Coturnix japonica: one gene and its partners. The protein of the gene in region 1 purifies or fractionates together with the protein of each later gene. This does not show direct contact. Links are inferred from orthologs where the notes say so. Each region holds a gene or a part of one and is shown in the gene's direction. Other genes may lie near its edges.

What was found.
Region 2: the proteins of WWC1 (region 1) and PTPN14 purify together in Homo sapiens (affinity purification with mass spectrometry; 7 studies listed by BioGRID and IntAct, counting the BioPlex papers as one, with this or other methods). This does not show direct contact. The link is inferred for Coturnix japonica from reciprocal best matches to the Homo sapiens genes WWC1 and PTPN14.
Region 3: the proteins of WWC1 (region 1) and AMOT purify together in Homo sapiens (affinity purification with mass spectrometry; 3 studies listed by BioGRID and IntAct, with this or other methods). This does not show direct contact. The link is inferred for Coturnix japonica from reciprocal best matches to the Homo sapiens genes WWC1 and AMOT.

What each region holds. Positions count from the first base shown.
Region 1 is NC_029528.1:7,291,580-7,295,230, reverse strand, and holds part of WWC1 (protein KIBRA), read left to right. Parts: intron 1-783; coding exon 784-948; intron 949-1,168; coding exon 1,169-1,261; intron 1,262-1,760; coding exon 1,761-1,991; intron 1,992-2,974; coding exon 2,975-3,096; intron 3,097-3,614; coding exon 3,615-3,651. UniProt on the Homo sapiens protein: Regulator of the Hippo signaling pathway, also known as the Salvador-Warts-Hippo (SWH) pathway.
Region 2 is NC_029518.1:18,594,409-18,598,059, forward strand, and holds part of PTPN14 (tyrosine-protein phosphatase non-receptor type 14), read left to right. Parts: coding exon 1-1,073; intron 1,074-3,180; coding exon 3,181-3,324; intron 3,325-3,651. UniProt on the Homo sapiens protein: Protein tyrosine phosphatase which may play a role in the regulation of lymphangiogenesis, cell-cell adhesion, cell-matrix adhesion, cell migration, cell growth and also regulates TGF-beta gene expression, thereby modulating epithelial-mesenchymal transition.
Region 3 is NC_029519.1:12,291,342-12,294,992, forward strand, and holds part of AMOT (angiomotin), read left to right. Parts: intron 1-1,332; coding exon 1,333-1,482; intron 1,483-3,102; coding exon 3,103-3,293; intron 3,294-3,651.

The sequences.
Region 1 (3,651 bases):
AATTGCACCATCCAAATATTTGGATGTCAGTGTCAATGTTTTTCTCCTTTCAGTTCATCTCCTGATAAGGGAGCTCCTATTTTATTTAAGGTTTCAGTTTGAAGGAGAAAATGCTGCTGCGTAGTGGACTGGGTTGCTGTTGAGCTGAGCAGAGCTGCAGCAGTTTTTTTGAAAGCTCATAATTGATTTTTAAATGCTTACCTACCTGAAATATTAAATAACTGCATGACAACTTTTTCCCATGGTTAATAAGCATTTTTCACACCTTCTTTTGTTATTCTTGGAAACTGTTTTCATTAATATGTGGCTGTGGCTTTGACCTTGTATAATTCTGAGTGTTCCTACATTCTCACAAGCATAATTAATGTGCTCTTGATCTGCTCTCTGTGCATGTACATACAGCTTTTTATATCTGTGCTTGTTGCAGATGCACAAAAGGTAAGGGAGTGGTCTTCAAAATTGTAACTCCCTTTTTGTAAGTGAAATTGCTGGTTCACGTTGATGTACTGGATCCAACAAGCAAAGCTCACTGGACTCAATTGTGTCCACAGCAATCAATGGACACGGAGCCCTTAGGGAGCAATACGGTTAATGTAGCAGCTGCTGAGTTCACAGCGTAGTGTCAGAGCACCGTGTATGAAAGGAGCTAAAGAGTATCTGGTTTAAGTGCGATGCCTCTGGGCTGAAAGCACAGATCTATCACAGGTGGCTGCCAGACAGCCCTGGATGTATCATTGGTCAGATGGCAAGCTGGCATTTTACACTGCACTATCTGTCTTTCAGGTGGATAAAGAGACAAACACAGAGAGCCTTGCACAGTCTTCTGCTGTGGTGCGTCCAAAAGACAAAAGAGCAGCAAATCCACCACAAACTCAGTTTGTCAGGGGTAGCACCATCATCCGCTCCAAAACATTTTCACCAGGACCACAAAGTCAGTATGTGTGTCGGGTAAGGAAAATGCAATCCTGGATCTATAAAATACTGCTTTTCATTAACGAGGGAATGATGTCATCGTTTGCGTAGTCTCAATTTTTTACTGAGTCCTGACGCTGCAGTCTTTACAAAACCTGAAAGGTCTGCTTACCTCACAGCTTACACTGTGATGTTGCTGCTTATGTAAGTATGTACTTGTATGTTTGATGGAAACATGTTCTCTTCCATTTTTCAGCTGAATCGCAGCGATAGTGACAGTTCAACGCTATCCAAAAAAACCCCCTTTGTTCGAAATGCAATGGAGAGACGAAGCGTCAGAGTGAAACGGGTAAAAGCATCTCTACTCGCTTTTTGTCTGGTACAGACGTGCACAAAAAAGAAGTGAAAACAGTTTAAAAGGAGGAATGTTTTGTAAACACAAATCATTTGCCAAGTGTTTTGATTCAGAAACTTTTCTTTGCATGTGAGATACTTCTCTTAAAGATAACTTTCCTAGTAATGCTGGAGTATGACAGGGATGTTTAACTCTAAAGCTTGCTTAAAGAAATAAGTTTAGAAAGATTGTTCCTGATATCTTCCATCGTATTGGAGTAGGAGTGGCAACAATTTTTCTGCTGCATTTATTGTAAGAGCATTTAGTGCTTGTGCTGCAATCAGCTGGGGATGAAGGTGAAAAGAAAGCTGCTTCAGTTACTCAGAGAAGTATTTATTTGTTTATTGCACTAAGAAGCGTTGGAGGAACAAGAATGGGTCATGTAAAATTATTGGGCCTTTCAGAAGGGGTGCAGTCTGGGCAGTTCTCACTATTGTCCATAATTTTTTTTCAGCCTTCAATTAAGTCTGTTGGTACAGAGCGCCTGATTCGCACTTCACTAGACCTGGAGCTGGACCTGCAGGCTTCAAAAACCTGGCATGATCGGCTTGTTCAGGAGATCTCTGTGCTGAGAGAACTAAAGGAACAGTTAGAACAAGCTCAGAGTCAGGGTGAGAAAGAGTTACCACAGTGGGTGAAGGATGATGAGAGATTTCGACTGCTGCTGAGGCTAGTGGAAAAACGAGTAAGTGATACCTGCCTTTGGATTTTATTTAACATTTGAGAAGTGTGATTTGAGAATTGGGATTTTAGACAACCTGGAAATTAAACTTTAGCACTATGGTCACTCGTGTCTTGTACTTACGATTCCATCAAGCAAGCTATTGATGATGGAAGTTGCTGTTCTCAAATGTTCAGTTCACAGACTGCAGAGTCTGTGCCTGCAAAGACAAAGGTTAGGAGGACAGCATCTAAATCTGCTTCTCCTAAGAGAAATGATGGCTCAGTAATGATGATGATCCTGAGCTTAAAATGACAGTCATTTCTAGTTAGTATATGTCCAGCATGGATGTTTGAAATCCTCTGAGCTGAGTCCTCCTCTAACCTTGCTGGAATTTGTCTTGCCTCTTTAGCTTCCTGTGGCATCCTGTTACACCTGAACCTGTGCAGCACAGAGATTTCCTATCTTAGTTCAGGTGCATGTATGGAAAGTCACAAATCCCATCTGTTCTGTAAAGTTCAGCCTCCTGAACCACAGTTTGCAATGGTTAGCACTTAACCTTACTCTGTCTACAAGTTCCTTTCCCTAGTGAGAGGGCCGCTTCTCAGCTTTCCTGGTTTATCACAAGCACCTTTGGCAGCAGACAGAAATATTTCAAGTTATGATGGCATAGTATGTAGATGGGGGGGAAAAAAAAGAAGTCCTCTGGGATAGAGCTTGGAAAATAGATTACCATGTTCTTGCATAAGCTGATGTGTTGGCTGAAAAATCATGATACAAAGAAGACATGGATGACAGCCATAATTCTTAGCAAGGGCCTTGAAGACCTTAGAAAAAGCTCTCCTGGTTACAGTGGTTGACGAGCCTTCAATTTACCTTCTGTAGCTACTGATTCCTGAGTTAGCAGGTCTCAAACCCTTCGGACCTGCAGGTAAAACTGCTGTGTTTACAGATTTATTCAGAGCGATTCCTCCCGGAAACACAAACAGCTTCCTTTTGGTTTTTAGGTGGAAAAAACAGAACACAAGTGTGAGCTCAAAGCTGATAAAATGATGAGAGCTGCTGCCAAGGATGTTCACCGGCTCCGAGGGCAGAGTCGGAAGGAGCCTTTGGAAGTGCAGTCATTCAGGTAATTAGGATAGTTGGGTGAAGGGGGTAAGAACTGACTTTGTGGATGATAATGGTGTTGATAAAGCTGATTTTGAACAAGTAGTTAACTGTTCTACTAAAAAACAAATTCAATGCTCAAATCCAGTCTGAAAGTCAGAAATTAACTGCAGCATTGCAGGTGATTTCAAAGCAGCTAGAAGTAGCCCAAAGCATTCCCCGCCTGGCACCAAGCATTATTTTAATGCAGAAAGCAGTCTTTTGCTCCCTTAAGTAACACTGCTCACCATGCCAACAACGAGCCTTTCTGAAATGGCTTCTTTGATTAGTTCAGTATTGTAGGTTTAACTGCAGGGATCTCTGGTGTGTGTGTAAAAGGTGTAGCTCAAGAGAGTGTGCTGCTGTGCATGGTGGTGACACGTGGTGGGATACATGTCAATGCAGATGATACCTGTTAATGCAGATGATACCTGTTAATGCAGATGATGTATGTTTCTGGCCATACCTGAATGGCACTAACAGCTGATCATTTCCTTCTAGAGAGAAAATGGCCTTTTTCACCCGGCCCAGGATAAAC
Region 2 (3,651 bases), on another chromosome or scaffold:
TTCGAGAGAGGCATCCTTATACAGTCACATATGGACCTCAGGGTGGTAGCTATAACAAGCCTGTTACCCCCTCTGACCAAATGAACCCTAAAAATGCTGTGCAAAATAAGACAGCAGCCAGTGCCATATCGCACACGGTCAGTACACCAGAACTGGCTAATATGCAGCTGCAGAGCAGCCAGAATTACAATACTGCTCATATGTTAAAGAACTATCTCTTCAGACCCCCACCCCCATACCCACGCCCACGTCCTGCCACCAGCACACCTGACCTTGCAAGCCACCGGCACAAGTATGTCAGCGGGAGCAGTCCCGACTTGGTCACACGCAAAGTCCAGCTCTCAGTAAAGACGTTCCAGGAGGACAGCTCACCCGTCGTCCGTCAGTCACTGCAGGAGGTCAGCGAACCCCTCCTTGCAGTGAAGCACCATGCGGCTGTGAACAAGCGCCATAGCTTGGAGGTCATCAGCAATATGGTACGTGGTATAGAAGCCATGGCATTAAAAACCTTAAACGCTCCTCTACCACGCAGGAACACCTTGCGGGAGCAGGTGCAGCCAGAAGAGTCGGTTCAGATGGGGCATGAAGTTCAACAGGTTCCTCATTATCATCACAAAAAGACATTCTCTGATGCCACAATGCTGATACACAGTAGTGAAAGTGAAGAGGAAGAAGATACCACAAAATCTGTGACACAGATAAGAGCCCTCCATGAGAACATGAAGTACAGTGCTCAGTTGCAAGCTGCCTTGGCTAGAATACCAAATAAACCTCCTCCAGAATATCCTGGGCCTCGAAAAAGCGTCAGCAACGGAGCCCTGAGACAGGACCATATTAGCACTTCTGTGGCCGTAGCCAGGGCCAAGGCCATGAGGCCAGGGCCCTCCAAGGCCATCAGTGTGTCTCGGACAGATCAAGTGGCAATAAATGGGTCCTCGCTTGGGCCCTCTATCTCAGAGCCTGACCTCACAAGCGTAAAGGAGAGGGTGAAGAAAGAACCAGTCAAGGAAAGACCTGTGTCCGAAATGTTTTCGATTGAGGACAGCATTATAGAGAGAGAAATCATGATGAGGGTAAGTGTCTTCCTTTGTTGCAGGGACTTCTTGAGAATTCGTAAGCATACAGGTCTGTTTACATGTCCAATAGCTGTTGGGTCAGTAAACTATGGGGAACACGTAGGTGGGAAAACAGTGTTTTGCTTAAAGCAGACCTGGTGGGTCAGCTACAATTATATGGATCTGGACTTCTATTTTTTTTATTGTACTCACTATGTGATAAATAGTTATTTAAACAATGGATGAATTTACAATAAAAACTGTGTATTTAAAGACTTCAGTGCCACTGCAGGCAGTGGGAGAAGTGAGGTGTGCTTGCACTTCAGCGACTTGTATTTTGAAGTTGCTTGTGCGACTTGTGGCTTGAAGTTATGCACTGAGAAATACAACTGCAGTCACAGAAAACAAAGCTTTTTGTTTTTTGTTTTGGAATTTGGCTTTTAAGCAGTTCCTGAAAGAAATTAACGAATGAGCCACAGAAGGAAATAATTTGGAATAGACTTAAATTTACATACTACTGTATATTCAAAGAAATTTAGAAAAATTATTTATAATGCTTCTTGTTCATTAGTGATTCTTACACTTATGTAATAGTTAGCAATTAAACTTGGACCTCTACGTCGTATCATGGAAACTGAGTTTACTCCATATAGCATCTTAACCTTCAAAAACAGATTTCCAAATATAAAACATAGTATTCTGTGAGTGAATACTGCAGATGTTGGTGAACAAGAAGCGTTACAGGCTCTTTTGAACTTCTGGGGAAGTAAAGAAAAAAACTTGCTGAGATGCAGAAATCAAAAGGAATTTTGGATGTGAGTGAAGGGTGAGCTGAGAGGTTAGAGGTGCTGAAGTGCTCCTTTGAATAATGACACAAATCTGCCTTTGGTCAAAATGTGTTTTAGTTGTAAATATATTTTTTTTTCGGAAGTAAATTAGTTGTGTTAGCATTGAGCTTTTGAGGTGGTTCCTAGTTCAGGTGCCTTAATGCATGCAAATGTTCCCTTATTGTAGGAACCCCATACTACACTAGTGCTGGTTTGAAAACCTTAATCTTGCAAGAGCAGGCTTTAGCTTGTAAAGAGTCATAAAAAGTAAAAATGAAAAAAAGCAAAAGGAAAAGGCTTGTGTTTTCCTCCCTCCTGAAATAAGAAAAGAAAGCAAAGAGTTTTTGGAATTTTGCTCTGCCTTTCTGTTTGTTTTTACTCAGTGTTCTGGAGGAAAGTGCTGGTGGTGAAAAAGCTCACAGGCTTCTGAAAAAACACACTGTGTCTGAGGGTCTTCAGGTTCAGTTTACTATTTCCAAGAGCTGAACTTGGTCTGTGTGGTGACCACAGCTTTGGTTCTCAGCATGCTGAGAACCAGGCTTCCATAATGCTCATCTCTTCATCCAAATCTGGGAGAAAGAACTGTGACAGGAATAGAATAAAACATTCGTGACTTGGTTCATTCTGGAGATTGTCTCCTTTCTCTGTGACTCCCAGAGACATTCGGAAGGCAGCAGGATGAGCTGAGAATTTGTACTCGGGTTTGCCGCATTGTAGCATAATACAAAGCATGAATGTGAGAAACAGTACCTCCCTAAACACACCTCAATTTTTAGTGTGAAATACATCACAGGTACTATTTGAATCACCATACCTGGGTGCATCAAAAGACTTCACTTTGAGTATTAATACAGGATGCTTTTTTTTTTCTCCTCTAAAATACATTTGTATGTTGGAATAGATTAAAATTATTGCTTTTAAAAAGACGCCCCAGGTGTCTTGGCTACAGTAAAGCTACTTGAAATGTACAGGGTGATGTGTTTTGTGTCCTAAGTTCAGAGCAGTATTTGCAGAAAAATGCTCAAGATTGTATTTGTGTGTCTTCTGATGGCACGTAAACTGTATTAGAAGCTGGGATTGCTCCTTTGAAATTAAAATTCTGTGCTCGTGTAGGAGCAGGCCTTTGAGGAATAACAGGAAGAATAGAGGTTGTATTTGAATTTATGATGCTAATGGTGATCATCTGCATTCCTTGGCCAGAAAGTTGCAGATTTTGGAGATTAAAAAAACATTCCAGCATTTTACTGGCATTATAAATAATCACACAGAGATGAAAACGTGCCTTTTCTTGCCAAAAGAATCTAGAAAAGCAGAAGATGGCAGGCCTGGAGGCCCAGAAGAGGCCCTTGATGTTGGCAGCACTGAACGGACTTTCAGTTGCTAGGGTTCCAGTGCCGGAGGACAGCCAGGATGAAGTAGCCAAGGTGCCAATGGATGAGAGGGTAAGATGCAGGCTCATGAAATGTTCATTTCCTTTGTTCCCAGCAGTACGAAGTTTCTAAAATATTAACATTCGATTTAACATATGAAACAATTTCTCATAACCATTTTTAGAGTCATTAATGTCAAAGGTCTGCAACTAATGCTTGTGCATCTTCTGATGCTAAGTGTTTTAAGTCTCTTCAATATTCACATAAGTCAGTGGAAGCTGGGGCTGTGCACCATTTCACTGCAGTCAGCATCATGTAAGATCAAGCTGTAAATTTAATCTTTTGCACATATTTTGCTTGATAAAGGAGTATTTAAAAATATCATCCTTAGAATATTTC
Region 3 (3,651 bases), on another chromosome or scaffold:
CTGTTTGGGGAAAATCCTCTAGGGCAGCAGCATTCATGCTGTGAGGTTAGGTGCCTGCTGACTTTAGAAAGAGAAGAAAGGGATACCATGTCTGGGTTTAATAGTGTTTGGAGACTTCTCTCTCCGCAGTCTCTGGTTGCCTCAAGGAACAGGAGTCTGAAAAGGGAAAATTTTGAAGAAACACGTGATAAGACCTTTCCGGAGGGAAGGCACAATGTAAGAACAGCTCGTTTCATTCCAATCAAAGCCCCACGAACCTGGTATCCTGTTTGCACCATAACTGCCAGCAGATTCCTAGGGAATGCAAAAATAGGACCAACAAATAATACTTTCCCAGAATACTTTCCACTTCCAAGAAGGACTTCCTGAGCTCAAAGTAGTGTCCTTTAAAATCCCTCAATGGACTTTTCTTCCATGAGGCTGTAGAGCAGCTCTTTGAACCCGCGTAAGAGAATCTGTGTTTTGTGCTGTGGTGCTTTGCCGGGCTTTGTTTCTGGCTGCTGGGAAATGTTGCCTTCTTTCTACTATCGTATTTCAGAGTTGATGACATCCACAGTTAAAAAAGCAATGCCCCGGATTTGCTGCAGAAGGTCAGTTAATGGCAATTATTAGAGTAATTTCTATAGCAGAAAACCCTGTCCCTAAATGTGCAGTATTCTGTCCGCTGGGACAGGGTTAGGCCTGGGGTTGGTTCTGATATTTTATTCATATTTTAGTTAATTTCTGTTCTGTGTGACCTGTGAAGTGACCTTTCTAAGATGGTTCCTGGGGGTCTCAGCATGGAAGTTTTCATTGTTGTGGTGAGGTAGGATAGCAGTTGTTTGCAAGATGGGCGATGAATAGCAGTGGCAGGAGTGGAGCAGGCCCCCTCAGCTCACAGCAGGCCAAGATGACAAGTGAATGCCAGGACTGCCAGCATAAGCCAGGCTGCCTCTAGTGCATGCTTTCATCTTGTTCATTATTTTAGTGCTGTGGGGCTGGAATAGGATACCAACAGTAGCTTTCAGTGTTGCACTGAAAAAGCTGTTCCCAACTTGTAGGTGTCTGGGTATCAGCATTCCAGATCATGACATCCCATGACAGACTTGGCATACCTTGATTTCCTCATCACTAGCATGGAGATGCTTGAGGACAAGAAGAAGAAATAAACCTAGCAGGAAGGTGGACATGGGAAGGACTTGTAACATAGGGCTTGTTTGAAATCCAGGGCACCCTGACAGCAGTAATGTGGACATGTTCCTCCTGGCTGGCGGTGCTGTTTTCTTTAAGGCACATGGAGCCAAAAGTTCCCCTCATTTAACTTATGCTGTTTTTTTTTCCCTTTTGTTTCAGCTCAAGAAGAAGCAGGTCTATGTTGAGAAAGTAGAGAAGATGCAGCAGGCCTTGGTTCAGCTGCAGGCAGCGTGTGAGAAACGGGAACAGCTGGAGCATAGGCTGCGGACTCGGCTAGAGCGAGAGCTGGAATCTCTCCGGATGCAGCAGGTATCCTGTCTTTCTCTGGGCCCTGGTTAGGCTTCTTGTAGGGTTTGACACTACAGCATGTGCAAAAGAAAGGCAATGGTTTTTTCCATCTTGTAAAATCAGCACATTTTTTTCTCTTGAAAACTATTATGCTGACCTATGTTTTTACTTGACTTAGTTATTCCATTCTAACCAGAAGATTTAGATAAAAGAGCAGCAGTCTGTGCATCCTGTGATAAGAGAGTCATATAGGTAACCTGGTTATATTCATTCTTATATTATTTTTAAAGTATTATTTACAGTTTGAAATTTTAAGTGAAAGTCAATAACAGCTGGACTGAAATGAAAGGCCCTTCAGAAGGCTTTTATATGAAAAAAAAAGTACACAAAATGCCAAAACCACAAAACCAGTTCAGTAAATGCAGTTGTTGGAAAAAGGAGCTTCATGTAGGATATCTTCTTGGAATTGTAGTGTGGGTCTTTTTCAGTGGAGAAAAAAATGAATAAGAAGTAGCTTGTGCAGATTTCCAGAATAATTTACAAACCTGATGGTTCATCTATATTCTAATTCATGTTTAGTTTCAGGTTAAATTTGGTCCTCAACTGTCACATCTGTGAGAGAACAGATATTTACATAACAATCATATTTTTGTAGTGCTCCTAAAAGTAGGAGTTAACATAATTTGGTAAATTTTCTTTCATGTTACCTTTGGGAGATGAGGTAATCTGAACACCCGACTTTTGACTTTGAGCTTTAGTCAAAGCAAAAAATGACCTTTATCGTCATGGTTTAAGAATTCTGAGCTGAATGTATAACAGGTTACGTGCCCCATTTGTTTTCAAGTCAAGTATCACACAAATCCCAGATAAGATTTTCATATAAAACTATCCGTTTTATCTTTGAACTTTCAGCACAGCAAATCTCCATTTTTTTTCTATTGATTTATGAGAAAAGGTTGTCTGTCTTCCAGATCTTGTGTTAGAACTAAATTATTTTTAACCACCAGCTATTTAGTCCACAGGTATACAAAGATCATATTGATTCAGTATCATGCTATAAAATATTTTGGATTTTTTTAAAACTCTGCTGAATTATGTACACTAGTTCGTGTTTTGCTGGAATGGTGTTGGAAGGAAGTCTGAGTTATTTAAGCAGTATGGACAGGTTAGAGACATCAGACCTGAGTAGCATATCCAGCTCTCTGACATGCTCTTGTGGCTTTGCATTTGAGAAAAGGCCTTAAGGAGTATTCTCCATCTCAGATACCCACTTGTTAGTATTGACCAGCTCTGGAGTAGCACAGGAAGCGCTCTACCACAAGTGCTGTGACTTAAACTGTCTTTCTAGGGAACAGTTGGTGCAGTTTTTGGTATTTTATGGCTTTTAAGCTTCAACATTTGGATGTAGAAGGAGCCTGGCTTGCACTATATGAGCTTGTTTCCAGGTTTGGACATAGGGAGGCTGTGCTGCCCCGCAGGTGTATTAGGTCCAACTCTAAAGGAGACCATTAGATCACGCAGTCTGCCTCACATTCACTCTGGGGGGTTCTTGCCCCTGCCCCACAGAGAAAAGCACACCAACCAATCCTGAATCTAACAGGTGCATCCTGAAACTTCTCTTTGCTTTGCTTTTCAAATCAGCGTCAGGGCACATCTCAGGCTGCCAACGTCTCTGAATACAATGCCACAGCGCTTATGGAACTCCTGCGCGAGAAGGAAGAAAGGATTCTTGCTCTGGAAGCTGACATGACCAAGTGGGAACAGAAATACCTGGAGGAGAGTGTGATGAGACAATTCGCTTTAGATGCAGCTGCAACTGTGGCTGCTCAGAGGTAAATTAAACTATTCATAGTACAGGGATTATTATTTTTTCCTGTTGAATGTCATATTTTCCACAAAACAGTGTTGTCATATCACCCTCCCAAAATACCTCTGCTTGTGGTCTGCACATCTTCTCAAACCTCTGCATATAAGTGGAGCTTGGCTGTTTTGCCTGGGAGCTGTGTGACTTAACTATAAGAAATTTTTTGCAAGGGAATGTTCCCCAACATGCAAGAGCCATATTCCAGGCTGGAGTTCTCCTAAGCCATTCCTAGAAGCTATTGCTTCAAAAATAGATGTGTGAGGAGCGTTGTTGGGGTTGTTTTTTTTCTTTTTTTTTTTTCTCTTTTCAAACAGGAGTCAGTCCTT